Linked DNA regions of Anolis sagrei. The protein of the gene in region 2 purifies or fractionates together with the protein of the main gene of each other region. This does not show direct contact. Links are inferred from orthologs where the notes say so. Each region holds a gene or a part of one and is shown on either strand. Other genes may lie near its edges.

What was found.
Region 1: the proteins of RACK1 (region 2) and IGF1R purify together in Homo sapiens (affinity purification with western blotting; 4 studies listed by BioGRID, with this or other methods). This does not show direct contact. The link is inferred for Anolis sagrei from reciprocal best matches to the Homo sapiens genes RACK1 and IGF1R.
Region 3: the proteins of RACK1 (region 2) and HELZ purify together in Homo sapiens (affinity purification with mass spectrometry; 3 studies listed by BioGRID and IntAct, counting the BioPlex papers as one, with this or other methods). This does not show direct contact. The link is inferred for Anolis sagrei from reciprocal best matches to the Homo sapiens genes RACK1 and HELZ.
Region 4: the proteins of RACK1 (region 2) and TNRC6C purify together in Homo sapiens (affinity purification with mass spectrometry; 3 studies listed by BioGRID and IntAct, counting the BioPlex papers as one, with this or other methods). This does not show direct contact. The link is inferred for Anolis sagrei from reciprocal best matches to the Homo sapiens genes RACK1 and TNRC6C.

The regions. Positions count from the first base shown.
Region 1 is NC_090029.1:14,282,205-14,289,984, reverse strand, and holds the start of IGF1R (insulin-like growth factor 1 receptor), read right to left. Parts: upstream 3,058-7,780; 5' UTR 1,004-3,057; coding exon 910-1,003; intron 1-909. UniProt on the Homo sapiens protein: Receptor tyrosine kinase which mediates actions of insulin-like growth factor 1 (IGF1). Binds IGF1 with high affinity and IGF2 and insulin (INS) with a lower affinity. The activated IGF1R is involved in cell growth and survival control.
Region 2 is NC_090022.1:24,601,772-24,609,500, reverse strand, and holds the start of RACK1 (small ribosomal subunit protein RACK1), read right to left. Parts: upstream 3,014-7,729; 5' UTR 2,888-3,013; coding exon 2,779-2,887; intron 1-2,778. UniProt on the Homo sapiens protein: Scaffolding protein involved in the recruitment, assembly and/or regulation of a variety of signaling molecules. Interacts with a wide variety of proteins and plays a role in many cellular processes.
Region 3 is NC_090022.1:180,429,513-180,437,347, reverse strand, and holds the start of HELZ (probable helicase with zinc finger domain), read right to left. Parts: upstream 3,033-7,835; 5' UTR 2,960-3,032; intron 1-2,959. UniProt on the Homo sapiens protein: May act as a helicase that plays a role in RNA metabolism in multiple tissues and organs within the developing embryo.
Region 4 is NC_090022.1:121,166,916-121,174,939, forward strand, and holds the start of TNRC6C (trinucleotide repeat-containing gene 6C protein), read right to left. Parts: upstream 3,019-8,024; 5' UTR 2,984-3,018; coding exon 2,930-2,983; intron 1-2,929. UniProt on the Homo sapiens protein: Plays a role in RNA-mediated gene silencing by micro-RNAs (miRNAs). Required for miRNA-dependent translational repression of complementary mRNAs by argonaute family proteins.

The DNA.
Region 1 (7,780 bases), on a different chromosome or scaffold from region 2:
GACACCAGTCAATCAAGGGATCATCTGCATACACACATTATGGGAACTGAAGACCAAAACACCTGGAAGGGAGGGACCAAGTTAGCCCATGCCAAGTCCAAAAGACCTGGAAGGGAGGACCCAAGTTGGCCCATGCCTTCATCCTCTTGGCAATGGACACTTCAGTCAATCAAGGGATCATCTGAATACACACATTATGGGCAGTGAAGTCCAAAACACCTGGAAGGGAGGGCCCAAGTTGGCCCATGCCTTCATCCTCTTGGCAATGGACACCAGTCAATCAAGGGATCATCTGCATACACACATTATGGGAACTGAAGACCAAAACACCTGGAAGGGAGGGCCCAAGTTGGCCCATGCCTTCGTCCTCTTGGCAATGGACACTACATTCAATCAAGGGATCATCTGAATACACACATTATGGGAAGTGAAGTCCAAAACACCTGGAAGGGAGGGCCCAAGTTGGCCCATGCCTTCATCCTCTTGGCAATGGACACTACAGTCAATCAAGGGATCATCTGCATACACACATTATGGGAAGTGAAGTCCAAAACACCTGGAAGGGAGGGCCCAAGTTGGCCCATGCCTGGTATAGCAGCTTGTCCTTCCAACTGATGGAGGAGACAATATGAGCTAAAAATAAACACATGTGTGTGTGTGTTTTCTGGGTAAATGCCCGGAAAACATGTGTGTGTGTGTGTGTGTTGTTTATTTTTAGCATGTGTGTGTGTGTGTTTTCCGGGTAAATCCCGGAAAACTCACAGCAACCCAATAAACCCAATAAATATAGCCGCCTGTCCTTTCATCAATCCCAACTCCTGGTAGAGGAGATGGAATTAAAAATAAACTACCCCCCCCCTTAACAGACACACACACATAAATATATAGGTATGTCTATGAAACACTCACTTTTTCCATTTGCTGTCCCGAAGCAAAACGTGGTCAAGATCAGCAAAAGCCCCCCATATAAGGTCAGGGACCCTCCTCCAGCGCCAGGCTTCATTCCTCTCTTTTTGTCCTTCTGGGTTGGGAGCAAAACTGGCCTTTGGGAAGTCCACAAAAACAGAAGAATCTAACAACAATACTAATCAATCTGTACAGGGTTTCCAGAGAAGCGGTGGAACTCTTCTTCCCCAACCTTGTTCCCCCAAAAAAGAAGGATTTTCTCTCCAAAAGGCTCCTTTTGGAGAAAGGAGGACAAGAATACAGAGAGAGAGAAGCGTTTGGGAGTCCTTGGATGTTTCCCTGGTTTGGTTCTTTCTCTTTCCTTTGGGGAGGCCTCTGCCAGGGGAAGAAGGAAGGGAATGGAGGGAGGAAGGAAAGGCAGGGATGGGGGGTCTTTTGGAGAGGCCAAAAAGGGGTCTTTGGCCCCTTTTTTCTCTTCGAGGAGGGAAGATCCCGGCGTGCGCCTCAGCCTCGCCTGCAGTCATCCAGGAGCAGCAAACATGTCACACGTTGGAGCAAACAGTCCGCATCTTCGACCTCCATCTTTTTTCTTCTCCTCCTCCTCCTTCTCCTTCTTCCTGCCGGGCTTGCCTTCTCCGCCCTACCCCCACAAACAAATAAACAAACAAATAAACAATCAGGAAAACACCAACACGGATCCCTTCTTTGCCTCCTTCCTCTCTCTCCAAGCCTCCTGTGCGCAATGCAAAAGGCCTCCTTGCTTTTACGCACGACTTCTCCTTCTCAATCTCCTTTGGAAAAAACCCCCAAAATGCAAAAATGGAAAAAAATCCCCAAAACCCCAAAGAGGAAACGCAGGGGAACGATGAGGGGGTGCTTTCCTTTGGAGAAAAAAAAATGACTCAATCCAATATTTCTTCCAATGGAAGGAAAGAAAGAAAGAAGGAAGGTTGTTGTTGTTTTTGGAGAGGTTCCTTTCTGGTCCTTCTTCCTGACTCCTTTCTCTCTCTCTTCCCTTTGTATTTTTTCGTCCCACCAAAAAGCTCTAAAAGGAGGAGAAATAGAGGAACGACTGGGGGGTCGCTTTCCTTGGAAGGGCGGGGGGACAAATTCAATCCAGTATTTCTTCCAATGGAAGGAAAGAAGGAAGGTTGTTGTTGTTTTTGGAGAGGTTCCTTTCTGGTCCTTCTTCCTGACTCCTTTCTCTCTTCCTTTTGTATTTTTTCGTCCCACCAAAAAGCTCTAAAAGGAGGAAAAATAGAGGAACGACTGGGGGGGTCGCTTTCCTTGGAGGGGGGGACAAATTCAATCCAATGGGAGTGGAAGGAAGGAAAGAAGGAAGGAAGGAAGGCAAGGCGGATCTTGTTGTTGTTTTGGAGAGGTTTCCTTTCTGGCGCGTTTCCCCCTCTTTCAGACGCCTTTCTCTCTTCTTTTTGCCCCCCAAGAATGGAGGAGGCGTCCTTCAAAGGGTCCGAAGCCCCTTCCCCATCTTTCCTCGGCCTGTTTTTGCCAAATGCGGATCCTAAATGCGGAATGGCGATGAATGGAGGGAGGAGACGCGGCGCGCCAAAGGCTTGGCTTTCTCTCTTTCTCTGTCTCTCTCTCTTTCCCCCTCCTTTTTTCCCAGGCTCCTTCCCAAATAGGAAAAAGGAGGGAAAGGAAGGGGGGGGGGGGACCAAAGGAAGGGGCACCTCCCTCTGGAAAGAAAAAAAAAGAGGCAAATAAATAGGGAGGGAGTCCCTTCTCCAAACGCCTCCCTTCCCTTCGGAAAGGCGCCTTTGCAAACAACGCCAGGCGAGGCTCGAGGGAGATCCCGGAGGCGGATTCCGAAGCTGGGTTTCTCTTTCTCTCTTTCTCTCTGTGTCTCTCTTTCCTTCCCTTCTTCGCCTTCTCTTCCCAAAGAAGCAGAGGAATGAATGGTGGGAGGAGGAGGAGGATCCGGCGTTTGGCTGCTGAAGGTCAAATCCTGGGGAGCAGCAAAACCAAAGCAAGGAAGGAAGGAAGGAAACAAAGCCAAGCAGCACTGTTCTCCCTTGCTTGCTTGCTTTTCCTCCCTCCCTCCTTCCTTCTCTCTCTCTCTTTACCAGAGGAGGGGGCCTACCAGGCCGGAGAGTCGCCCTCCGCAGCAGTAGCAGCAACAACCTCCGCCTTCCTCTCTTCCTCCTCCTCCTCCTCTTCCTCCTCCTCTCGACTGCGGAGGCTGGCTTTTTCCACGGCGCCGCCTCCTCCTCTTCCTCCTCTCCTCCTCTTTCTCCTTCCTCCTCTCCTGACTCCCAGCCGTAGCCCAGGCTTTCCCCTTCCTCCCCCCCCCCCCCCCGCTTTGGGGTTGCAGGCCTCCAAAGTGGGTGCACCCCCCCTCCCCGACCGCCTCTCCAAATGCGCAAAAATAGAGACCCCTCTCTCCCTCTCCAAAGGAAAACGCCCAAATCTGGATATTGAGAGTTTTGCAATGCTTATAGTAGTGACTGAGAAGGGTGCTTAAGACTTTGAAGGTGACAAGAAAGGAGGCTTTCTCCCAAGTCTTTGGGGATTTGGGGGTCTTGCAATGCCATGATGGAGACTGAGAAGGGTGCTCCAAACGCTGAGGGTGCCAAGAAAGGAGCCTTTCTCCCAAGTCTTTGGGCATTTTGGGGGGGGGGGGGGTTGCAGTGCCATGATGGAGACTGAGAAGGGTGCTCCAGACTCTGAAGGTGCCAAGAAAGGAGGGTTTCTCCCAAGTCTTTGGGCATTTGGGGGTCTTGTAATGCCATGATGGGGACTGAGAGGAGTGCTCCAGACTCTGAAGGTGCCAAGAAGGGAGCCTTTCTCCCAAGTCTTTGGGCATTTGGGGGGGGGGGGGTTTGCAATGCCATGATGGGAGACTGAGAGGGGTGCTACAGACTCTGAAGGTGCCAAGAAAGGAGGCTTTCTCCCAAGTCTTTGGGCATTTGGGATCTTGCTATGCCATGAGGGAGACTGAGAGGGGTGCTCCAAACTCTGAATGTGACGGAAAAGAGGCTTTTCCCCAAATCTTTGGACATTTGGGGGGGTTGCAATGCCATGATGGTGACTGAGAAGGGTGCTCCAGACTCTGAAGGAGCCAGAAAGGAGGGTTTTTCCCAAGTCTTCAGGCATTTGAGGGGTTGCAATGCCATGATGGTGACTGAGAGGGGTGCTCCACACTTTGAAGGTGCCAAGAAGGGAGACTTTCTCCCAAGTCTTTGGGCATTGGGGGTTTACAATGCCATGATGGTGACTGAGAAGGGTGCTCCAGACTCTGAAGGTGCCAGAAAGGAGCCTTTCTCCAGTCTTTGGGCATTTGGGGGTTGCAATGCCATGGTGGTGACTGAGAAGGGTGCTCCAGACTCTGAAGGTGCCAGAAAGGAGCCTTTCTCCAGTCTTTGGCCATTTGGGGGTTGCAATGCCATGGTGGTGACTGAGAGGGGTACTCAAGACCCTGAAGGTGACAAGAAAGGAGCCTTTCTCCCAATTCTTTGAGCATTTGAGGGGTTGCAATGCCATGATGGTGACTGAGAGGGGGGCTCCAGACTCTGAAGGTGCCAGAAAGGAGGGGTTTTCCCCAAGTCTTCAGGCATTTGAGGGGTTGCAATGCCATGATGGTGACTGAGAGGGGTACTCAAGACTTTGAAGGTGCCAAGAAAGGAGGATTTCTCCCGATTCCTTGGGCATTTGGGGAGTCTTGCAGTGCCATGATGGAGACTGAGAGGGGTGCTCCAGACTCTGAAGGTGCCAAGAAAGGAGGCTTTCCCCCAAGTCTTTGAGCATTTGGGGTCTTGCAATGCCATGATGGTGACTGAGAGGGGTACTCAAGACCCTGAAGGTGCCAAGAAAGGAGACTTTCTCCCAAGTATTTGGGCATTTGGGGGTCTTGCAATGCCATGATGGTGACTGAGAGAGGTACTCAAGACCCTGAAGGTGCCAAGATAGGAGCCTTTCTCCCAATTCTTTGGGCATGGGGGGGGGGGGTCCAATACCATGATGGAGACTGAGAGGGGTGCTCCACACTTTGAAGGTGCTTTTTTCCCAAGTCTTTGGGCATTTGGGGGTTTTGCAATGCCGTGATGGAGACTGAGAGGGGTGCTCCAGACTCTGAAGGTGCCAAGATAGGAGCCTTTCTCCCAATTCTTTGGGCATTGGGGGGGGGGGGGGGGTTCCAATTCCATGATGGTGACTGAGAGAGGTACTCAGGACCCTGAAGGTGCCAAGATAGGAGCCTTTCTCCCAATTCTTTGGGCATTGGGGGGTGGGGTTCCAATGCCATGATGGAGACTGAGAGGGGTACTCCACACTTTGAAGGAGACTTTCTCCCAAGTCTTTGGGCATTTGGGGGTTTTGCAATGCCATGATGGTGACTGAGAGGGGTACTCAAGACCCTGAAGGTGCCAAGAAAGGAGCCTTTCTCCCAATTCTTTGGGCATGGGGGGGGGTCCAATACCATGATGGAGACTGAGAGGGGTGCTCCACACTTTGAAGGTGCTTTTTTCCCAAGTCTTTGGGCATTTGGGGGTTTTGCAATGCCGTGATGGAGACTGAGAGGGGTGCTCCAGACTCTGAAGGTGCCAAGATAGGAGCCTTTCTCCCAATTCTTTGGGCATTGGGGGGTGGGGTTCCAATGCCATGATGGAGACTGAGAGGGGTACTCCACACTTTGAAGGAGACTTTCTCCCAAGTCTTTGGGCATTTGGGGGTTTTGCAATGCCATGATGGAGACTGAGAGGGGTACTCAAGACCCTGAAGGTGCCAAAGCGAGGAACCTTTCTCTCTTTGCAGTCCTCTCCCTTAATTACAACACGAAATAAACACCCAGGAGGATAACAATCAGTAAGGTGCATCCAAACATTATTGGGGTTGGAAAGCAAGGGCTTTGCATCCTAACAGGGAAGACTAAATCTCGACTAAATCGGAAGCGTCTATTATTCTTAACTTCTATAATAACTTCATCATTCATTTGTTTCTCTTAACTTCTTTGCAATCTGATAACATTTCTATTACATACAATTATCTCTGTTTGTTTCTATTACATCTTAAACACATATGATAGGAAACACAACACCCCCCTCCCCTTTTATTTTTCTCCTTTGCTTGCGTTTCGGGAGCGCGCACGCACAAACGCACGCCTCCGCCACCGCTTTGCTTTTTGCAAGAGACGGAGCCTGGATTTCTCTCTCCTGGAGCACAAAGGAATGGAGCCTAGCAGCCCCTTATCCACGAATTCCATATCCGCGGGGCCTGGCTACTCCTTGGAGAAGTTTTCTCCCACTCCAAAAAAAAAGAAAGGTACCTAACTGCCTGTATAAAAGTGCTTCGGTATTACTATGCTGTTTTTTATGTATATGTGTGTGTATATAATAATAATTAATAATAATTATTATTAATTAATAATAATAATTAATAATAATTAATAATAATACTTTATCCCCAAAGGGATTTGGGGCGGCTTATATGAGGCCAAGCCCTACAATACATACATCAGTAAATCAACACAGCAATAACATAAAAGCCAAAAAAAGAGAAATCTATATACATAAAAATGTAATGTTCGTTTGTGGGATTAACAGAACTCAAAAACCACTGGACGAATTGACGCCAAATTTGGACACAAGACACCTACTAACCCAAGAAATGATCATCACGAAAAAAAATTGATTTTCTCATTTGGGAGTTGTAGTTGTTCGGATTTATAGTTCACCTCCAATCAAAGGGCATTCTGAACTCCACCAAATCATGGAATTTTACCAAACTTGGCACACAGGACTCCCCTGACCAACAGAAAATACTAGAAGCGTTTGGTGGGCATTGACATTCGTTTGGGAGTTGTAGTTCACCTACATCCAGAGAGCACTGTGGACTCAAACAATGAAGGATCCAGACCAAACTTGGCATGAAAATTCCATATGCCCTAATATGAACAGAGATGGCATTCAGAGGAAATAGACCTTGACATTTGGGATTTATAGTTCACCTACAATCAAACAGCATTCTGAACTCCACCAAATCATGGGATTGAACCAAACGTGGCACACAGGACTCCCCTGACCAACAGAAAATACTAGAAGGGTTTGGTGGGCATTGACGTTGGGTTTGGGAGTTGTAGTTCACCTACATCCAGAGAGCACTGTGGACTCAAACAATGAAGGATCCAGACCAAACTTAGCACGAATATTCCATATGCCCAAATATGAACAGAGATGGAGTCTGGGAGAAATAGACCTTGACATTTGGGATATGTAGTTACTGGGATTTATAGTTCACCTCCAATCAAAGAGCATTCTGAACCCCACCAACAACAGACTTGGGGCAAACTTCCCACACAAAACCCCCATGGCCAGCCATTCCAACTCCCTTCACCAGGGCAAGAAAATGTAATCAAAGGCCTCCTGACAAAGAGCCATCCAGCCATAGATGTAGATAGATATATATGATTCACACACAGAGAGATATAGTATCATAGATTTGAAATATAGTATCATGAATATGATATATTATCATAGTATCATAGATTTGAAAGGGACCCCTTAAGATGGACAATTATATGTTGCATGTTCCAAAGTAGGCAAACCAGATACTCTCCACATCAACACTGACAAAGACACAGCAAGAAATGCTGTTTACCCACAAGCATCAAGGCATTACATATATTAGAAACCAACACTTTCTAATTACTTCATTTTCCAGATCACCAGACTGGGCCACAGCAACGCGTGGCAGGGGACAGCTAGTATCATATAACATAATGTGATACAAGAGAGCTTATGTTATGATAATAATAATAATAATAAACTTTATTTATACCCCGCTGCCATCTCCCTAAGGAACTTGGTGCGGCTTACTTGAGGCCGAGCCCACAATACATCAATACAAGCAATAACAACAA
Region 2 (7,729 bases):
GTGTGTGTCAGGAGCAACTTGAGAAACTGCAAGTTGCTTCTGATGTGAGAGAATTGGCCATCTGCAAGACTGTGCCTGGATGTTTGATATTTTACCATCCTATGGGAGGCTTCCTTCATGTCACCCCATGGGTAGCTGGAGCTGACAGAGGGGAGCTCAACCCGCTCTCTCCGGATTCAAACCACTGACCTTTTGGTCAGCAGTCCTGCTGGCACAAGGATTTAACCCACTGTGCCACCAGAGACTCCTGAGTAGAGTAGGTAAAGATTCACTAGCAGATCTCTGGGTGATTTGCCGTAAATTGGAAAAAAACTCCTTTGACTTCCAATTATGTATCAGCAAAAAAAAAGAAGTTCTACAAGCTTAGATGAGATTACTAGAAAAGAAGAGTGGAGAGAAAACAGAGGGGATAAAATGGTTTATATGGTTTTTATAATATTAGGTTGAATGTTTCTAATTGTACTTTATGAATATATGGCATCAAATTCTGCCAATTTCTGTAAGCTGCCTTGCATCGCCGTAAGGCTGAGAAAGGCGAGCTACAAATGCCATAAATAAATATTTAAGTTATGGGGTTTAGTTCTGGTCACAATGACAAAATTTGGCCACCTGCATGTGCTCAGGAGTTCCCTATTCTTTGAAAAGATGTCATATTGAGGAGGGGCCAAGCTTAAAGACTAGGATACAAAGGAATTGATTCAAATTGCAGGAAAAAGATATTCTGCCTAAACATTAGGAAGAACTTCCTGACTGTAAGAGCTGTTTCGGCAGTGGAATATGCTGCTTCCTCAGAGTTTGGATGATTTTAAGAAGTGGCTGGATGATCATCTGTCGGAGGTGTTTTGATTCTGTATTGTTGCATGGCATGGGGTTAGACTAGATGGAGTCTCTTCCAACTCTGTGATACTATAATTCTAATATGAAAGCAAAGCATGCCAAGCCAGCCAGGTGGCTGTTCACTCTAATTCACAAACCTGAGAGACCTGTAGCACTCCTTCATCGCTTCTGAGTTGTGAGATCATTTTTTGTTAGCATTTTGTGGTACTCCTCTAAACTAAAGGTTTCCAGTAACATGCTAGAGCCTCCCCACCCCGCTTCTTAATGGATCCTCCTCTGTCCCATCATAATTGCAGGACTTGTCTTCAGATCCCATTAAGAAGATCAGGTAGACAATGTCGTATTTAATCATTGGGACAGAGAAGAAGCAAATGCACCTGCTATTGACCTCGACGTGAAGCTACCTTAGGCATGCACAAACTTCGGCCCCCCAGATGTTTTGGTCTTAAACTCCCACAACTCGGTAGGCTGTTAGGAGTTGTGGGAGTTGAAGTCCAAAACACTTGGAGGGCCGAAGTTTGACCATGCCTGAGCTACCCATTGCAAAGCTTCAAAAAGCAACTTTTTTGGAGGGAGAAGGCCCAGCAGCCATCCCAAAACGATACTTCCTCAATCTTTGATTCTATGGCCATACCTACATTAACCAAGGGTGCGTTTACACAGAAGTTCCACCCTGTCTCCTGTGCTATGCTAATAATATAATATAATATAATGTAATATAATATATTGTATATACATATAATATTTATAATACATGTAATATTACTAATAATATTACAATATAATGGTATAGTACAATATAGTAATATTTAATACTGACATTGTGCTAATATATAATATATTGTTTGTATGTGTGTGTGTGTGTGTGTGTGTGTATATATATATATATATATATATATATATATATTTTGTAAGTGGCTCTGAGTCCCCTTCGGGGTGAGAAGGACGGCATATCAATGTCATAAATAAATAACCAAGGGTGCGTCTAAACAGAAGTTCCACCTTGTCTTCTGTGCTATGCTAATACAATATAATACAATGTACTATATTGCATATACATATATTTATAATACATGTAATATTACTCATAATATTACAATATAATGTTATAGTACAATATAGTAATATATAGTACTGATATTGTACTATGCTAATGATCTAAAATATTGTATGTGTGTATATATCTTGAAAGCTGCTCTGAGTCCCCTTCGGGATGAGAAGGGCGGCATATAAATGTCATAAATAAATAAATAACCAAGAGTGCGTCTACATACATTTCACCTTGTCTCCGGTGATATCTTAATAATATAATATAATGTAATATTACTAATAATATTACAATATAATGGTATAGTACAATATAGTAATATATAATACTGATATTGTACTATGGTAATAATATAATATGTTGTATGTATATATATCTTGTAAGCCACTCTAAGTCCCCTTCAGGGTGAGAAGAGCGACATATAAATGTCATAAATAAATAAATAATAGCATTAATGCTGTTTGGCACCACTTCCAACTGCTATGGGATCATGGGAGATGTAGTTTTACAAGACCTTTCGCTCTCTATGCTAAACTACATTTATTCCACAATATAAAGTCACCAAAACCCTTACTATTACTTGGTTTGTTCCAAATACTGTGCTCTATGGAACTTCCCAGCCATACTTCCTAAGGACTGTGGGTCGCTCCCATAAGCATATATGGGGGAGTGTGACTACAGGATAAGAATCGCAGTCTAGTTATTCTGGCCCTTAGTGATATTCATAAGAATCCCTATTCCTTCCATGTAACTTGGACCATTCCAACTTCTCTCGGCTGAATGATATGTCTCTTCCCCCCCCCCCCCATTATACATTGGTCTCTCCCACTTTATCTTATTAATCCCCCCCCCCGGCCTTGCCATTTGGTTTGGCCCTGCTTCTTTGGCCTTACCACGCGAGGCGGACAGGATCATGTCGGGGAACTGCGGGGTGGTGGCGATCTGGGTCACCCAGCCGTTGTGGCCCTTCAGGGTGCCACGCAGAGTCATCTGCTCCGTCATGGCGGCGGCTGAGAAGGCTCGAGCTCCCGCGGCGGACGGAGGATGGCGGCGGATTCAGCAGCGGCCCTTCGCCCGGACCTGCCAGCTCGCAGAGGCCCAGAAAGAGAAAGGAAGCGGCAGCGTCTTCCGGAAGCGGAAGTAGCCTCGCCTCGCGGGCTCCGTACAACAACATGGCTCCTTACTGTCTCTTATATACGGATGAGAAAAAACAATAGCTGGTACAGAAACCCGTCCCTGGAAATCACCTAATAGTTTCCTACTATCATTCCTAATTCTGATAAAGATCCCAAATACCATTGCAAAATCCGCTTCTGGAATAAAGCGGGTTAGTTTGGTGGCAATCCCCTCAGAGACGTACAACATGGCGGCGCCCTGGGATTTTACTTATCGCGAGATTAGGAACGTTGATTCCTCCATTCCTAGCGCGAATAGGGTGGGTTGATAGCAATAGTTACTGGCATAGATGGCCATGCAGTCTAGTGGACCCCACAGCAGTTGGAAGTGGTGTCAAACCGCATTAATTCTGCAGTGTAGATGCACCCTTGGTTAATGTAGGTATCAAAGATTGAGCAAGTATCATTTTGGGATGGCTGCTGGGCATTCATCATCATCATCATCATCATCATTATTATTATTATTATTATTCTCCCTCCAAAATAATAATATAGATAATAATAATTAATTATAATTATAATTATAACAACTTTTTTGGAGGGAGGGATATTAATATATTATATTATTATTATTATTAATTATAATTATAATAATAATTAAAAATAATAATATAATATATTAATATCCCTCCCTCCAAAAAAGTTGTTTTTTGAAGCTTTGCAATGGGTAGATCAGTTATGCGCCAACTTGGGCCCTCCAGGTGTTTTGGACTTCAACTCCCACAATTCCTAACAGCCTACCGGCTGTTAGGAATTGTGGGAGTTGAAGTCCAAAACACCTGGAGGGCCCAAGTTTGCCCATAACTGATCTACACTAATTAATACAGTTTGATGCCATTTCAACTTCCATAGCTCAGTGCTATGGAATTATGGGATTTGTAGTTTGGTGAGGCACTGGGGCTCTTGGGCAGAGAAGGCTATATAGCTTGTAAAACTACAACTCCTAAGACTGTGTAACATTTAGCCAAGGCAGTTCAAGTAGTGCCAAACCGGATTAATTCTACAATTTAGATAGATAACTTAAAAATACTTTAGCAATTGCAGTGATGGTAAGCATGTTTAACATGAGCAAGAATGTGTGGCTCGACTAGAATGACTCAGACTTGGAGTGATGACTCAGCAATTCTTTGAAGCCCTCGTGGATTGCATTGCAGCCATTCTTTCCTATCAGGCAGAGCGGCTGCCCCAAGCACTCAGTTGGTTTCTGTAGTGTAGTGGTTATCACGTTCGCCTCACACGCGAAAGGTCCCCGGTTCGAAACCGGGCAGAAACACATACTGATCACTTTTTGTCTTCTTGGTTGGATGGAAAATAAATCAGCTAAAGCTTGTTAAAATTATTTAATACTCCAATAATCAGTATTTCATTTCAGCTCAATTGATATTTAAATGTGTAAATTCATTATGCAGATACCTCCATGGAGGATTGCCTTCTGATACTGAGAAATTAAGTTAAATGAATGTGTGAGCCCATGAAATATTGCAAAACACCTGTTATTTAAAAGAAACTAAAGGAAGAAAATGAATTTATTTTATTTATCATGTCAGGGGCAACCAGACAATTGTATGACATTTCTAACAGAACAAAACAAACAAACAAACAAACAGACAAAACACAAAATTTGCAAGCTTGGTAGTTGATTAACTACCAAGCTCCAGAAGGGACCAGAAAATGAATTGATTCTCTCTCTCTCTCTCTCTCTCTCTCTCTCTATATATATATATATATATATATAAATGTAATGTTAATTTGTGGGATTAACATAACTCAAAAACCACTGGACGAATTGACACCAAATTTGGACACAATACACCTATCAGGCCAGCAATCGACCATCACTCATAAAAACACTGAAAAACACAGCAGAAGAAACTTAAAAAGCCAAAAAACAAAATAAAATTACAATGCATTTGCAGAACCATACACACACACATATATATGCAAACATACATATAATAATAATAATAATAATAATAATAATAATCTTTATTTATACCCCGCCACCATCTCCCCCAACGGGGACTGGGAGTGGCTTACATGGGGCCAAGCCCGAACCACAGATTACAATTCAAAAAAATAAAAAAATACAATAAAATAAACAACATAACATTAAAGTATAAAACATCAAAACATATAAACAATATACATAGAACATAAACAATATACATAGAACATAAGGACAAGGAGTGGGCCGCATGTACATAAAATGATTTTAAAACTCCGAGGGAGATAAAGGGGTAAAACTAATTGTAGGGAGAACTCATGGAGAGACGGGATAATAAACAAACCTACATACAAAGGGGGGGGGGGGGGGGACTCCTGGGACAAGAATGTTGAGGGAGCAATAGCATGAAGTTGTATGACTACTCTCCAAAGGTGCAATGGCAGAGCCAGGTCTTGAGACTCTTTTTAAAGGTTTCTAATTCTGGGTACCACAATTGAAAGGAGATGTTAACAAGCTGGAATGTGTCCAGAGAAGAATGGCTAAAACGATCAAGGGTCTGGAGAACAAGCCCTATGAGGAGTGGCCTTCTTGTTGGCCACTCCAACTCTTTGGAACTCCCTCCACAAGGAGGTCAAAACAGCACCTTCCCTGACATCTTTTTAAAAACAGCTAAAGACCCTCCTGTTAGCTCAATGTTTTGATGAAAACACTTAGCTATAATGACAGGAAAGCTAACTTTTACTGAGTTGCGCAAACTTTACCATCTGTCTTGTTGAGTAGCTTGCAATAACTGTATTAGATATTTTAAATGGGTTTATTTCTCATTGTAAAATTGTTTTATAGGTTGTTGTCTTACATATGTACATTGTCTTGTATTGTCTTTTACACAATGCTGTGAGCTGCTTTGGGTCCTGTTTAGGGAAAAAAGCGGGATACAAATAAAAACTTATGATTATTATTTGAAACACAACAAGATGAGTCCACAGCAGACAAGATCACTCTGCTGGCTGTTGTATTGGATCACACGTTGGAAACTTCCCAAGTGTCTAGGACTGTGTGATGTATCAGCGAATAATGCGTGCAGATCCCAGTAAGGCAGCCTTCTGCAGTTGGCAGATGGTAATTTTATCAGCGCCAATTGTGTTTAAGTACAGGCCAAGGTCTTTAGGCACTGCACCCAGTGTGCCGATCACCACTGGAACCACCTTGACTGGCTTGTGCCAGAGTATTTGCAGTTCGATCTTTAAATCCTCGTATTGTGACAGCTTTTCTAGTTGCTTCTCTGCAATCCTGCTGTCACCTGGAATTGCAACATCAACAATCCATACTTTATTTTTTAACATAATCGTGAGGTCAGGAATATTTTGCTCCAAAACTCTGTCTGAATTCAGAAGTCCCAGAGTAGCTTGACGTGTTCATTCTCTGAAACTTTTTCAGGCTTGTGATCCCTCCAGTTCTTTGTCGCAGGAAGATGGTATTTGTGGCACGGGTTCCAATTAATCATCTGAGCAACAGTGTTATGCCTCTGCTTGTAGTTTTTATTACTATTAATATTATTATTATCATTATCATTATTTCCTTTTTTGCCTAAGAGTGCTGGCACTCACCAAACAGGATTCCATAGCCTTGCGCTTTGAATTTACTCTGGCACAAGTTTTTCTCTGTTCTTGTTAAATCATCAGCCAAAGCTAGGGCCCATCTAGAGTACTGAGCAACAGGAGCTAAAGTAGTGTCAAACCACACTAGTTCCTCAGCAGATACCTAGGGATCATTGTATTAATCATTTTTACAATTATTAATGTATTTAGGTGATTTTGAATTATTTGTGTTAAGAAATGTGTTAAGAACACAGTGTTAAGAACACAGAGAGTGCTCACTAATGCTTCCTCTTCATCTTGGAAAGAAGTGACAAGTGGAGTGCCGCAGGGCTCCGTCCTGGGCCCGATCCTGTTCAACATCTTTATTAATGACTTAGATGAAGGGCTAGAAGGCATGATCATCAAGTTTGCAGACGACACCAAATTGGGAGGGATAGCCAATAGTCCAGAGGACAGGAGCAGAATTCAAAACGATCTTGACAGATTAGAGAGATGGGCCAAAACTAACAAAATGAAGTTCAACAGCGACAAATGCAAGATACTCCACTTTGGCAGAAAAAACGAAATGCAAAGATACAGAATGGGTGACGCCTGGCTCGAGAGCAGTACGTGTGAAAAAGATCTTGGAGTCCTCGTGGACAACAAGTTAAACATGAGCCAACAATGTGACGTGGCGGCAAAAAAAGCCAATGGGATTTTGGCCTGCATCAATAGGAGCATAGTGTCTAGATCTAAGGAAGTAATGCTACCCCTCTATTCTGCTTTGGTTAGACCACACCTGGAATATTGTGTCCAATTCTGGGCGCCACAATTCAAGAGAGATATTGACAAGCTGGAATGTGTCCAGAGGAGGGCGACTAAAATGATCAAGGGTCTGGAGAACAAGCCCTATGAGGAGCGGCTTAGGGAACTGGGCATGTTTAGCCTGAAGAAGAGAAGGCTGAGAGGAGATATGATAGCCATGTATAAATATGTGAGAGGAAGCCACAGGGAGGAGGGAGCAAGCTTGTTTTCTGCTTCCTTGGAGACTAGGACGCGGAACAATGGCTTCAAACTACAAGAGAGGAGATTCCATCTGAACATTAGGAAGAACTTCCTGACTGTGAGAGCCGTTCAGCAGTGGAAC
Region 3 (7,835 bases), about 160 Mb from region 2:
CTATTTTTTTATCATTTTGAAGGAGAAGGCTTTTTATAAGCTATCAAACTCAAGAAGTTACAATTATATTTTTAGCTTAGTTTTTACAAAATGTAATAACCGCTCAACATAAAAGTTTTATGGAAAAACAAAGGTTTGCTGTACAAATATGTTTGAAAGCTTGTGAATCAACAGTGTTGAAATTATCCTGCCAAAAACAGAAGCCCCCATGCAGTGATTCAATAGGAAAACTCATTTGTTTCTCTATCAATACTTCACATTTATTGTGTGCTGGACAAACTAAGACCCCACCTAGGCCCCTTCCACACAGCTGTATAAAATCTGCATTGAACTGGATAACAGTGTAGACTCAGATAATCCAGTTGAAAGCAGATATTGCGGATTATCTACCTTAAATTCTGGATTATATGGTTTTGCAGATTATGGCCCCTTCCACGCTGCCATATAAAATCCATATTATCAAAGCAGGCAATCCACATAAGTCTACACTGCAATATAATCCAGTTCAAAGTAGAAAATCTGGATTTTATATGGCAGTGTAAGATCCTTCCACACCGCCATGTAACCCAGAATTTCAAGTCAGATAATCAACAATATCTTTCAATTTGATTATCTGAGTTGACACTGCTATATAATCTAGTTCAATATGGATTTTATACAGCTGTGTGGAAGGGGTCATAGAAGGGGGCTCATATAATCCACTTCAAAACAGATAATGTGGATTATCTGATTTGATAATCTGGTTATATGGCAATGTAGAAGGGGCCTAAGGCCCCTTCCACACAACTGAATAAAATTCCACATTTTCTGTTTTGAACTGGAAAATATGGCAGTGTGGACTCAGATAACCCAGTTCAAAGCAGATGTTGTAGGATTTTTGCCTTGATATTCTGGGTTATATGGCTGTGTGGAAGGGCCCTAGAGCACAGTTCACCAGTTTTCCTTTCTCACCAAGGTTTAACATGCCTTTTCTCTTACGACTCATGCAATCCCTTTCAAACATTAACTTTCCAAACTGTTTTCATTCACCTATAAAGGAGCTGATTCTCTGGCAAGGCTAAGTGATCGATCCAAAACCATTGTTCCTCTCTATCATTCAGCAATAGTTCATGAATCATCTTGTGAAATGCTGTGTAGCCACTTAATAAAATAAATAAAAATAAAATAAGACTTGCTTTTTGAAAGGCGAAACAGTGGGCGTATTTGCAGGAGAAAAGCCTTCCAGAGAAAGGTTGGCAGTTGTTGTTTCCCACCCCAGTTACACAAAGACTTAACCTAGGGCCCTTCCACACAGCCATATAACCCATAATATGAAGGCAATAATTCCCCCAATATCTGCTCTGAACTGGGTTTTCTGAGGGCCCTTCCACACAGCCATCTATCCCAGAAAATCAAGACAGAAAATTCCAAATATCTGTTTTGAATTGGGTTATCTGAGGGCCATTCCTAACAGCCATATAACCAAGGACGTCAAGGCAGAAAATCCCCAATATCTGCTTTGAACTGGATTACCTGAGGGCCCTTCCACACAGCCATCTAACCCTGAAAGTCAAGACAGAAAAACCTGAATATCTGATTCGAATTGGGTTATCTGAGGGCCCTTCCAAACAGCCATATAACCAGGGGCGGCTCAACCCATTACGAAAAGTAAGCATTTGCAGTATAGTTGATTTTGCCCAGGGGCGCTCTTGAGGCGGTCTTGGGGGAAAATAGACCTTGACATATGCGAGTTGTAGTTACTGGGATGTATAGTTCACCTACAATCTAAGAGCATTTTGAACTCCACCAGTGATGGAATTGAACCAAATATGGCACACAGAACTCCCATGACGAACAGAAAATATATATCAGTGATTGGTTGGGGGGAGGGGGGCGCCAAAATACTTTTTGCTGACCGTTGAAAATTACCTAGGGCCGCCTCTGCATATAACCCAGAATATCAAGGCAGAAAATCCCCAATATCTGCTTTGAACTGGGTTACCTGAGGGACCTTCCACACAGCCATATAACCCAGAATATCAAGGCAGAAAATCCCCAATATCTGCTTTGAACTGGGTTATCTGAGGGCCCTTCCACACAGCCCTATAACCCAGAATATCAAGGCAGAAAATCCCCAATATCTGCTTTGAACTGGGTTATCTGAGGGCCCTTCCACACAGCCATCTAACCCTGAAAGTCAAGACAGAAAAACCTGAATATCTGTTTCGAATTGGGTTATCTGAGGGCCCTTCCACACAGCCATATAACCCAGAATATCAAGGCAGAAAATCCCCAATATCTGCTTTGAACTGGGTTATCTGCGGGCCCTTCCACACAGCTATATAATCCAGAATATCAAGGCAGAAAATCCCCAAAATCTGCTTTGAACTGGGTTATCCGAGTCTAGTTCAAAGCAGAAAATGTGGGATTTAATTCAGCTGTGTGGAAAGGGCCCACAGGATCCTTTCTTCAAAGCACTTCGGATCCCCGCCCTTCGAGGAGCTTCCTCATTCGCCTGGCTGGTGAGGCGCATAGATCTGTATGCTAGAAAACACACCCCACCCCTTCCTTCAGTGTGGGTTTGGTGCCTTCCTAGAGAGCCGTTAGAGCCGCCCTCCGCCGTCGAGGCTGAGCGGCCTGAAGCCTTCCCCGCCCTCAGCCGGGCCTCTGAAGGCCAAGCCGGTGCTCCTCGGGCCCTGTGAGTGAGCACAGGAGCAGCCCCTTCCCCTCGCCCTGCCTCCCTGCCTCCCTGCCCTCTTGCGATGGCTGCCTCCGCCGCTCCTCCTGCAGGCCCCTCGGCAGACCACAGGGCCCTCTCCGCCGGCGCCGCGCCTCCTCCGCCGCCTCCTCCGCGGAACCACGCGGGCCCCCCTATCCCCCCAGGGCCCCCTTGGCCTCGAAGGCCTCCTCGCAGCCCAGCCGCCCTGCCCCCGCTCGCCCTTTGCCCTCCCGGCCCGGAGACGGGCAAGTCCTGACTTACCTGTCATTACTTTCTACGCCATCTTGGATCCACTTGTCAACGTCCGCGCAAAGCATTGTGGGCGCGGAGAGGGAAGCGGGCCCTCCTCCTCCTCCTCCTCCCCCCTCCCTCCAGGCATTGCTCTTCGCCCAGCAGGGAAAAGTTGGGCCGCTGAGGGAGGGAGAGAGGGAGGAGGGCTTGCCTTCTTTGCTTCATGGTTGCCAGGCCTCAGAGGCAGCCAAGCGGGGCCTAGCAGTATTCCAGCTCCCGAAGACTACTCTTCTTTCTGTTGAGACTCCATACTGTCGAATGAAAGGCAGTTGGATAGCCACTTTGTCTGGCCTTTCTAACAGGCCCTCTTTGGCAGAGAAGCCTAAGTCTGGGGGCCCTTCCATACAGCTGAATAACATCCCACACTGAAACGGATTATATGGCAGTGTGGACTCAAGGCCCTTTCAGGCAGCCTTTTAACACTGGCCCTTTCCACTCAGCTGAATAAAATCCCACATTTTCTGCTTTGTACTGGAATATATGGTGGTGTGGACTCACTTCTTGGGAGGAGAGCAATGACCAAGCTCGATAAAAGACGCCTAGAGCATCTTGGATGGAGGGCGATTAATAAGTAATTAGATGATGATGATGATGATAAAATAGTGAAGAGTAGAGACATCACATTGGCAACAAAGATCGGCATAGTTTTTTGTTTTGTTTTGTTTTTTTGTCGTGTCATGAGTGACTTCAGAAACTGCAAGTCGCTTCTGGTGTGAGAGAATTGGCCGTCTGCAAGGACGTTGCCCAGGGGACGCCCAGATGTTTTGATGTTTTACCATCCATGTAGGAGGCTTCTCTCATGTTCCCGCATGAGGAGCTGTAGCTGATAGAGAGAGCTCATCCACACTCTCCCCAGATTGGAACCTGCGACCTGCTGGTCTTCAGTCCTGCCGGCACGGGTTTAACCCACTGCGCCACCGGGGGCTCCAATTCTAACTATGAGGTTCTATCATACACCATGGCTGCATCTACAGTAGTCTTCAAACCCAGGGGATGCCAGGATGTGTGTGTTTTTTGTTTTGTTTTACCATCCTTGTGGGAGGGTTCTCTCATGTTCCCGCATGAGGAGCTGGAGCTGATAGAGGGAGCTCATCCACACTCTCCCCAGATTCAAACCTGCGACTTGCTGGTCTTCAGTCCTGCCGGCATAGGGTTTAACCTACTGCGCCACCGGGGGCTCCAATTGTAACTATGAGGTTCTATCATACACCATGGCTGCATCTACAGGAGTCTTCAAAACCAGGGGACGCCAGGATGTGTTTTTTTATGTTTTACCATCCTTGTGTAAGGCTTTTTTCATGTCCCCGCATGAGGACCTGAAGCTGATAGAGGGAACTCATCATCCTCTCCCCAGATTCCAACCTGCCACCTGTTGGTCTTCAGTCCTGCCAGCACAGGGGTTTAACCCACTGGAGGCTCCATCTGCATAGTCAAAGCAATGGTATTCCCCGTAGTCACCTACGGATGTGAGAGCTGGATCATAAGGAAGGCTGAGCAAAGGAAGATAGATGCTTTTGAACTGTGGTGTTGGAGAAAAGTTCTGAGAGTGCCTTGGACTGCGAGAAGATCCAACCAGTCCATACTTCAGGAAATAAAGCCTGACTGCTCATTGGAGGGAAGGATAGTAGAGGCCAAGATGAAGTACTTTGGCCACATCATGAGGAGAAAGGAAAGCTTAGAGAAGACAATTATGTTGGGGAAAATGGAAGGAAAAAGGAAGAGGGGCCGACCAAGGGCAAGATGGATGGATGGCATCCTTGAAGTGACTGGCTTGACCTTGAAGGAGCTGAGGGTGGTGATGGCCGACAGGGAGCTCTGGCGTTGGCTGGTCCATGAGGTCACAAAGAGTCAGAAACGTCTGAACGAATGAACAACAACAAAGTTCAAAACAGGTATCACAATCAGATACAGTGAAGACATCTGCCCTTGCGCTGTGCTACTCACAAAGTAGGGAACTTATTCTGGGAAATATTTATTTGACAATAAAAATCCCCCCCCCCCCCCCCCAAAAAAAACCTGATATGATATACAGAAAAGCTAGCAACTCTCTGCCTGGCCGAATACAAAACCCTTTTGAAAGATCACCAGCACACACCCACTCCATAGTGCTGCTAAGCCCTTGGCTTATATGAGGTGAAAGAGTGTGATTGTGTCAGCCCTAAGGCTTGTGTTCCCTTTTAAAGCTGTTTCTTTAAAGGTACGCTGTAACCATTAGTTTCTTCAACACTGCTTAAAGTTACTTTGGAAATCTTCAAGCATAGAGGCACACTTGAGTCAGGTTTTGATGAACAAAAATCAACAAGGTTTATTATTTAGAACAGGAACAAATGCAGTTATTATTTTGGCTGTTACAGAAAGTTGTGTCTTAAAAGCGTGATGGTTACACGAATGGTTCTATCTTTGTTACTTAAGAGAATCTTCTCTCCCTCCAAAACAAAACAAGAAACTAACAGGACAGTGTCTCTGCTAGAGATTCTTCAGTAGCCCAGATAGATCTAACCTGATACTATCCTGCTATTACCCAGCTAATCTATTAGCTGCAAGTCTGCTTCAGCTACCTTGCTAGCAAACTTCTGGCCAGACTTAGGCCTTTACTTCTAACACCACTCCACTCCTAAACACCCTTTCTCTTCAAACTCCAATTCCTCCAGGGATCTCAAAAACCTCCTAAAAAGCAAGTTTTTCTCCTCTTTGCAAGCCAGGCTCCGCCTCCTCTGACTTGGCTAATCACATCCCTCTCTCATTTTCCCTCCAAAGACTGATTTAAATACACATGCCCCCTCCTGGAAAATGAGCCATCAAAATGGAGTCCCTCGGCACCTTCTTCTAAGATGGCTGCCGACTCCTTGGGTCTACCATTCTAGACCTAAAATAGGCCTGACTGGAAGTAGATTCACTACACATGCCCAGTGTGGAACACATCTCACCATGCTAAAACAGTGGATGTGGCTCTTAATGAGACATGCTGCATTATCACGGGGTGTCTGCGCCCTACACCACTGGAGAAATTACACTGTTTAGCCAATATTGCACCACCTGACATCCGCCAGGGTGTAGCAACCAATAGTGAAAGGACCAAGGCAGTGACATCTCTGGCCCACCCGTTTGGGTATCAGTCAGCACGCCAACGACGTAAATCAAGAAATAGTTTTCTAAGATCTACAGAGACACTCGCTGGAACACCTCAGCAAGTGAGAGTCCAAAAGTGGCAGGCTCAAACCCAGAACCTCAATCAATGGCTGATACCAAATGAGAGACTCCCTCCTGGGCACACAGAAAACTGGGCAACTTGGAAGGCGCTGAACAGACTGCACTCTGGCACCACGAGTTGCAGAGCCAACCTTTAGAAATGGCGCTACAAAGTGGAGTCCATGACAGGCGAATGTGGATAAGAGCAAACCACAGACCACCTGCTGCAATGCAACCTGATCCCTGCCACATGCACAATGGGGGACCTTCTTGCAGCAACACCAGAGGCACTCCAAGTGGCCAGCTACTGGTCAAAGGACATTTAATAGAATACCAAGTCTGCAAACTTTGTGTTTTGATTGTTTGTTTGTTTTTAATGCAATACAACTGTTTTGGTTTGCTCCTGACACGATAAATAAACAGGTATTGTGGGATTTCCTGCCTTGGTATTCTGAGTTATATAGCTGTGTTGAAGGGCCCCGAGAATATAGAATATCAAGGCAGATAAACCACAATATCTACTTTGAACTGAGTTATCTGAGTCCACACTGCCAGTTTTGAGCAGATAATGTGGGATTTTATACAACTGCGTGGAAAGAGCCTCTGGCCCCTTCTGCACTACAGTACAGATCACCAAAGCAGATAATCCACATTGCCTGCTTTGATCTAGTTAATCTAGTTCAAAGCAGATCATGTAGATCATCTGCTTTGATCATCTGGATTATATGGCAGTGTAGAAGGGCCCTGGCAGTGTAGACTCATAATCCAGTTCAAAGCAGATAATCCGGGGACCCTTCCACACAGCTACATAAAATCTACATTTAACTGGATTTTATTTATTTATCTGAAACATTTATATTCCACCCTTCTCACCCCGAAGGGGACTCAGGGCGGAGCACAACATATATATGGCAAGTATTCCATGCCGGAACATAAAATAACTATAAATATACACAAACACTAAAATCAGTTATATTTACTTTAAAATCAGTTGTTTAAAACCATCTATATGGCAGTGTGGACTCAGATAATCCAGTTCAAAGCATATATAGTGGATTATCAAGGTTGATATTCTGATTCAGATGAATGTGGAAGGGCCCTGGGATTAGATCCTGAGATACAGGGCAGTGTAGATCCAGCCTCTGTGTGTTGGCTGCAATGGGTGGGTGTGTTAACAAAATGTAATGAGAAATGACAATGTTTTAAAATATATGTTATCTTACTATATATGTGAGGAGCCCCCAGTGGTGCAGTGGGTTAAACCGCTGTGCTGGCAGGACTGAAGACCGACAGGTTGCAGGTTCGAATCCGGGGAGAGCACGGATGAGCTCTCTCTATCAGCTCCAGCTCCTCATGCGGGGACATGAGAGAAGCCTCCCACAAGGATGGTAAAACATCAAAACATCCGAGCGTCCCCAGGCAGCATCCTTGCAGATGGCCAATTCTCCACACCAGAAGCGACTTGCAGTTTCTTAAGTCGCTCCTGACACGACAAAAAAAAAAAAAAACCAACTATATGTGTGCATGTGTAAAAGGTTTTCATGAGATAAGATTTCAGCTCCAAAATGCCAAATAATATTTTAACTGAATACAGCTGCATTTAGTAGCATATATTCAGTGCAGATTGCATTTTAGGTAAGTTAATCTAATCAAAATT
Region 4 (8,024 bases), about 97 Mb from region 2:
ATGTAGATGCCACAAAGGGATAATTATGAGCATACCAACTGAAAAGTTCAAAAGTCAGATTAAATCAAGACTATAATCTTTTTGACATCATTTGATCATTATTCAATCACCTTTTTATTAAAGATGCGCTTCACCCTGCGATTTGGGATATATTGTCATCTTCTGCAATATATTCAAGGGCTTATCTCAGACTTTTCTGTGAATTTTAAAAATATGCTGTAACCCCTTTAATCCACAGTGTAGCATTCATTTGGAAGTGAAGCTGCATTAAATAATAAGTGGAAATGGGGCCTTAGTCTACTTTAGAAATAACTTCTGAAAAAGAGTGAACACATTTTTTAAAACCCCCAGTGTGCTTCAAAATTCTTGTTATCTTTTCCCAGACCTGAGCAGATGCAGATTGGGCAAAACAACAAAGTGCCTTGTAATTTTGTACATTTCATCCAGTACAAGCTTTTGTGAAATGCAAGCCAGTAGCTACCCCCGAAAAGTGACCAAGCAAAGCAGTCTTTCACTCATGTTGAATATCAACCACAAGATGGCTCCCTGAGCATTCTCTTTAAATAGTTTGCTTGCTTTCTGAAGAGGCTGTCTTGCTAAAAACAACTGCTTGACTTACCTTTCTGTGCATGTTGCCTAAGGCAAAAGTCATATCCCGGTAACTACTCAAGTTTATCTTTTTAAAAATAAAGAGAAAATTCAATCATGCTGCTCATTGTCCCAATGGCACTTACTGTAATTAGGTACAAAAGCTACTAGAAGGAGTCCCTTGAAGTCTGTGCCATCTACTACATTCCATCTTGAGAATCTGACCATACAGACTTCAAGAAATCTGTATTCAGTTAGCCTTTCTCTGCTTTTTACAACTTATTCTATGAAGAGATCTGGGGTTCCGGAAAGCTTGCCCACAGTTTTACAAATATTTAGACTCGCTGTACATTTTGGATTTTTTTCTTGATTAACACAACTTTGTTTTCTTACTTTCAAAGCATTGTCTCTTATCCTAAGGTACCATTGCTCAGTTATGAATAATGCACATAGCGGATATACTGGGCTAGGGATGATCAGATTATTATCAATAAGTATGAGGATACCTTCGTGACTGTCCTTGGATTATGTGGCTGGTCACCATCATGTTGCTGTAGATTAGTGGTGCCCTCCAGGTGTTTGGGACTCTAACTCCCAGAAGCTCTGGCCAGCTTGTGTAGTGATCAGGAATTTTGGGAAGTGAAGTCCAGAACATCTGAGGGACCAAAGGTTGGACACCACTGTTCTAGATGATCCTTGGATCTGATTCTAATCCAGAAAAAGAATCAGGGCTTGGGAAGTTACTTTTAAGAACAATGACTGGCAGCCTACATTTCAGTTATGGATTTGTAACCTAAAGTTACAGATCTGTATCTGCTCCATATTTAGCCATGTTTCACATTCACAATTGTGGTGCTACTGCCATGACTGCAAATGTCCATCCAAACATACCTTGAATATCATTTGAAGTGGGGTGCAAGGAAAACAAAAGAGCCATCACCCACAAAGAGTGATTGAAAGTCTGTTGTTGTGGTAAGCCGGCTAGAGCAAGATGATGTTTCTATCTCCCTCCTACCGCAATCAACGCTGTGACAATAAAAAGTAGGGTCCTCATTGCACAGCAAATCATTGGTGGAAGGGAGCTGAGAAATGTCATCATGCTGTACCCTGATTTTTAAGAGAACAGGCACCCATTTCTCCATGTGGCTGCTAGCATTTAGAGTGGGGTTTTGGAATCTGGACTGGAGACAAAATGAAGTTATTCATTCATAAGTATTTATTTAATATAGTACATTATGGATTATAATGACATACTGGAGCCATACATAACTGAAGGATAATACCCTGGGTCTCCTTAAAAGTAATTTTCTAAGTTCTGGAAACACATCATATATAAATGGAAATTTGATTTAACACGCAACTCTAGAAATTTCTCCCAGAGAGACCACTGGCTCCAGGTTTTGGCTCACTGGCCCCAAATGATATAGGTATTCCTTGTCCTGGATAGCATTTTACCAAACTAAGTGCTATCCATGGGACATCTATTGCATTTAAATCCCTATATGCATAAATTTCAAAAGAAAGGGCGTAGTAATCATGCAAGGAAAAAGCAGTTATTAAGGTGGTTTAATGCAATGAGAAAAGGTTAGCAGAAACACCAAGTTCACGATCACTCCATTTGCCAGATGGAACAGGTACATGTGGTTTGTGTTATGTGCATTCAGTTTCCATACTTCTAAGTTCTGAAAATCACACTTATGACCAAGTCATAAAATAAAAAAAATTCTATGTGTCTGGTAAACATTTCAAATATTGTGTGTCAAATAAATCTGAACCTACAGTTTTCTAGGTCTCAGTTGTCTAAGTCATTTAGATACCTAAGGGGTGTTTTGTTTTATTTTAGTCTTTCCAAGTAACTTTGCATTAAGCACCCCATTTTCTCCTGCAAACATCTGGTTATTCATACATCTTGGATGCCTCCCAGGGGATCTCTGATAAATGAAAGCACGCTGGGTATACATTATGTGTCTACTTACAATGGTACATTTTTACAGCTGAATACCACAAACATGCATATAAATCATTACATCATAAAAAATGTCATTAGGAAGTACTAAAGTTTCCAAAATTTAATGCATATTGTCCTAGCTGTAAAAGACAATACCTGAGAAAACCAGCTAGGATTACAATCAACAAATTGGTACAAAATGGAAGGAGGAGCTAAACCAAATGTTAGCTATAAATTTTGTGAACACCACTGTTAGATATTCTTTGTTGTAGAAATTGTACAGCTCAGAGTTATGACACTCATTCTCCATAGTATCTCAGTACTCAGCATTTGCGACAAAAACAAAAGACAACCCTGGCCTGCAATCGCTCTTTGTGCAAGCTATTGTCTTACCTGGCTAGGTTGGACTGCAGAATCTTTGATGCTGACCTTCCCATGAAAAGCCATTCAAGCCCATCCTCCCTGAAGACTCTTCTGGAGATCAGCGGCATCTCTGCATGAGGAACATGTGACGGTCAGTTTAAACAAGGAAGGACACATCAATTTACCAAAGGCCTAGTGCACAACATGTTGCTGCCTAAGGCAGAAGAACCGATAACCTGCCCTCCCCAGTCATCTGGGTTGCAAGATCCTCAAAGCGAGCCAAATTCTTTGGGCATACAAGGAGGGGAAAAATCCCATAAACACTTTTCCTCATATCTGGCACTGAACAAAATTATAACAAACCAAATAAATATGATTTAATTGCATAATTAATTAATTGTATGATTGATTGATTGCACTGAAAACCTTCCAAAGATGCTCTGTGGGAGAAAAATCCTTCTCTACCTAGGAATTTGTCAATTACACTTATACCCTCGCTTCCCTACATCATGGTGATGTAGATTCCTCACTTCTTCCCCATTTGATCATCATATCAACCCACATTATTTTACATTACATTTTTTCTTAATTGGATATATAACAAATGTAAAACAGATTTCTAAAAGTTTTCCCATTCATAACCATCTGTTGTATGATATAATAAATCAGGTTTGTGACAGTTCTTCCTTCCTGATTGTGATCAGGTAACTCAAACTAAAAATCAATTCCAAGTGTTGCCATAACTTTCTGACCTCCTCCTGTTTCTACATATGGTTTCATTAAACATAGGATCTTTTACTCTTTGGGGATCAGTTACAAAGAATGCTAAGCTCAAATGCTTCTGAATAGTTCAGCCCACTGGATCTTCTTGTGTTAATACTTTGAGTCTTCTTATCTAAATCATGCTATATCCCTAACAAGCAGGAAGAAGTTTTGCAAAATCCAAGAGAACTATAATTTAAATTAAAACATAAAGTTTTTCAAAATTAATTTTAAATACTTATTTTATATTCTAAAAAAAAAAAGAATTTCCAAAAGTTTGCTTAGAAGGCACACAACAGAGTTGCCAGATCAAATCCAAAACTTTACTAGGATCTTTATTTTGATCACAGCAAGTTTGGGAACTCTTTGTTTGGCTATGTAGGTTTTTAAAAAACGTATTAGGAGTTTACTTAATAAAACAGTAAAATATATCCTACCCTCCACCAGCACTGACAACATTACATGATTCTAAGTGTAACCAAATAATTACTTGTAGAGATAGCAACAAATGTAAGTAGTCAATATCCAAAAAGTGCCCCTTATGACTTCCGGTTGGGCGGCAATGGCAGCTGGCAGGGCTCCGGGGACTCTCCCGAGAGCCAACCCTTAAGCTGCAAGCAGAGGGGGTGTAACCCTCAACCCTTGGACCGGATCGAGTGTCCAAGAGACGCTATCTCCATAGCACCTCGAACCGACGGTCTAAGAGTGGGTCCCCCTCAAGGAGACTCACCAAAGACCCGGACGAGAGGAGGCTGGGAGCTGCGGCTTGCTGCAGGGGACCCGGTCCCAGGGAACTGGGAACTGGGATAACAGCCGACCGTGCGCTATTTTAAAGCGGTGAGAGTGGTGGGATCTGGGAGACGGCACACCAGCAGCTGGAAGCGGAGCCCAGAAAGGGTAAGACTTAATAAAACAGTAAAATATATCCTACCCTCCACCAGCACTGACAACATTACATGATTCTAAGTGTAACCAAATAATTACTTGTAGAGATAGCAACAAATGTAAGTAGTCAATATCCAAAAAGTGCCCCTTATGATAGCTCCCAACTTATGTGGTTCAATTGTGAACCATGTCTAGAGCATGCCATATATGTTATAAACAAATGTCATACTGTCTGAAATATATATTTATGGTTGCGAAGTACTTTTTAAGTAGAGGGACAATTGATGGTCCCTCAGACCACTGGAGGAGGTGGACTATAGGTTGGGGAAAAAATGAACGAATTCCTATGCACACTGAACATATCTTATTTGTAGTAAAAAAATCATGAAAGAACAATACAATATTTAAAATAAAGTATAATTACCAGCATTACAATGGGAAGTGTGGGCTTACTTTTGGTTGATGTGATAGTCAAGTTAATTAGGATTGTTGTTGTGTGACTTCATGTCATTTCAGACTTAGGGTTACCCTAAGTCTAAAGTTTAGGGCAGGGACTGGGTAAATGATCTCGGTGGGCCGCATCCAGTCCTCAGGCCTCTGTTTGGGGACCCTGTACTGGGTGATCTTGGGCAAGTCGCACTGTCTTAGCCTCATGTATTGATAGAATGTATTAATTTGGGGGGGGGGGGGGGAAGAGATGTGACCATCATTACATAGAAAGATACACATTTTTGTGAAAGGGAATGGTTCTTGGTCTAAGGAAGGAGATAGGTCTATGCCGTAATTATCAAGTGTTCCATTGCTTCCATATAACTGTGAAAACTGGGTAACGTAAATGTGTAATAGCACAGAAATGTTTCTGGATATATATACAATACATTATAAGTATAAAATATCAATAAACTTCATTGTGGCTACCAAGAAGTTTTACAGAGAGGATTAGCTGTACTTAATGCTTCTTTACCAGATGTGGTTTGCCCAGTATCTCAAATCCTGTAGAGATGGCAATTTTCACTAGTCACCCAGCTACTTTTCCTTCCTTCCTTCTTCCCTCCCTCCCTCCTTCCCTTTATTTATTTATTCAAAGTTTTAATGGCTTGCTAGCCAACAGCTCTCCCTATCTGGTCATCTTTAATTCTTCTTCATGTAAGCTTGCTGCCCTGCAGCATGAATCTGTTGCTTTTTGTTTGTATTCCAGTTCCATCATGTTTTTGAAGTTCCTCCTCCAACTTCAGTCTGCCTTCTCAAACAAAATGGAATGCATTCATTTTCTCTTGACTTACTCCTTCCTCTCTGAACTTTCCATGTTTTTGTCCCTTGAATCCAATCCTTTGTTCTCACTGCCTCATTAATATGTCATGACCAGGTGGCAGAATACATTTGAGGCCTTTAAAAGCCCCAAGAAAATGGATTCTGTTACCTCCAGGATTCTGGAGGCTATGGTTTGGTTGTGGGAGAGAATACTGTGGCTTTGCTAGAGAAAGATGGTTGATACTCCCATTACAATATTTATTTAATATATTTGACCAGTTGTTGTTTTATTTAGATTGAATCCATATATTTGCATATTTCACTAGGTCTACTGTGAAAGCTAGCCCAGATAGCAGTGTGCAAACGTTTATGTCTCACTATCAACGCTGAGGAAAGATTCACCTGTCAATCCAACTTTTGCACAAAGAAACAGGAGAGTGCTATTTTGTTCTTTGCCAATGTCATCTTGATTAAGATCTGAAACTTATTTACAAATAAATACAGGGCATTACAGATACTTTTATGTGTGAATTTTAAAGCTGCAATCCTATAATGCTTATTTGGAAATAAGACCGACTGAACCTAGCAAATTTATTTCAGAGTAAACCTGAATACGTTTATGCTGCATATTGACTGTGAACTATGTTTGCATGATTTATGAGAGGAATACATTATAATTATAAATCTAGAATACAGTGGAAAGAAGGCAAGCATCACTTAAACTTGCTATTCTTTCTATTAGGACCTTCTCACATGCACCACCGTAATCTCCCTGGATCACCGCAGATTGCAGTGATACCAGCAGCACTCATCCAGGGCGCATGGCAACCTGTTGTCTTGCACCCTGTCATGGTTTAAAAAATAAATGTCATAATTAAAATGGTAAGGTACTGAGGCCTTTAGACTTGGCCACATTGCAAAATGCAGAGTCACTCATGTCTAGGCCTAGGCACTCTGTAAATTAATTAATTGAAAACAACCAGTTTTATCCACAGTCATGACTGCATTTTACAAATTTTAATATTTTATTATGCAATATTGTAGGTGTGTGCGGTAATCTCATGTTATTATCATGTTTGTGAGATTACAATTGCCCCAAATATTGTTTATTTGAGCCGCCCCCAAGTCCCTTTGGGGAGATGATGGCAGGGTACAAATAAAATGTATTATTATTATTATTATTATTATTATTATTATTATTATTTATTAGCACAGTCAGGTGACTGAGCTAGTGACTCATGGGGGAGAGTAAAAAAAAGCAGATACCTCCTATGTGCTCAGCATAGTCTGTTGTAGGACAATGGAGCTGTGGATGGGGCAAAGAGCTGAGATAGAGAGTGTGTATATTGTGTATATAGCTTTGTCTTCTGAAGCAAGTGAAGATAAAGCTTTCCTGCATACTGCAGTGAAAGGACTTCTATTATTATTATTGCACAGTGAAGTTTCCTGCATTGCTCAAGGACTCTAGGACCCAGCTGACTCATGGCTTGGGGGTGCTTCCAGTACTCTACTGAGGCAGAGGAAAATACCTGACATGCCCCACATTGTCCTGGCTTCCCCCCTACCTCAGCACATATGGGGAAGCCTTCTTAAGTTGGCTCAACCATCTTTCCCAATGGAAAGATGGGAAGCCTCCTGTGGACCACCACCAGCGACAGGGTTTTTGAGGCAGGGTTTTGGCAGCAGTTCAGCCCTGGAGCCATCCCAGAAGTACTTCTCCAGGGTATGGTGAGAGCCATCGGGGTCTATGGCTGAACTGCTGAACACCTGTCATAGACCACCAAAAAATAACCCATGTGAAGAAGTCCTATGACCAATGAGGCCCATAGATCCTACTGTTGTATCACGCTCCCCCCCCTCCCCAAAAAAAGACACACAAAGCCTCCAACATGTACCAATTGCCAAAAGCCCACCCACACCCACAGAAACCTCATTTGGTGACATCATTTCCTGTCATCATTTTGGGAAGGACATGCACAAAACTTGAGGTATTCAGGCACAATGTTGGTGGGGTATATAGTCCACTGAGGAAAATTTGTCTCCATTTCTCACCTTTGTTATACTCGTCTATGCCATATGTCTTTGATCACACCATACATATTAATTCACATGTGTTAGATGAATGTCAGCAAAAAACACATCTTTTAAAGCTGTGTGGCATGCAGACAGCAAATCTTGGGTGGTCCTGTCAGACTTCTAAATGAGGAAAATTGACTTCAACAGTGAA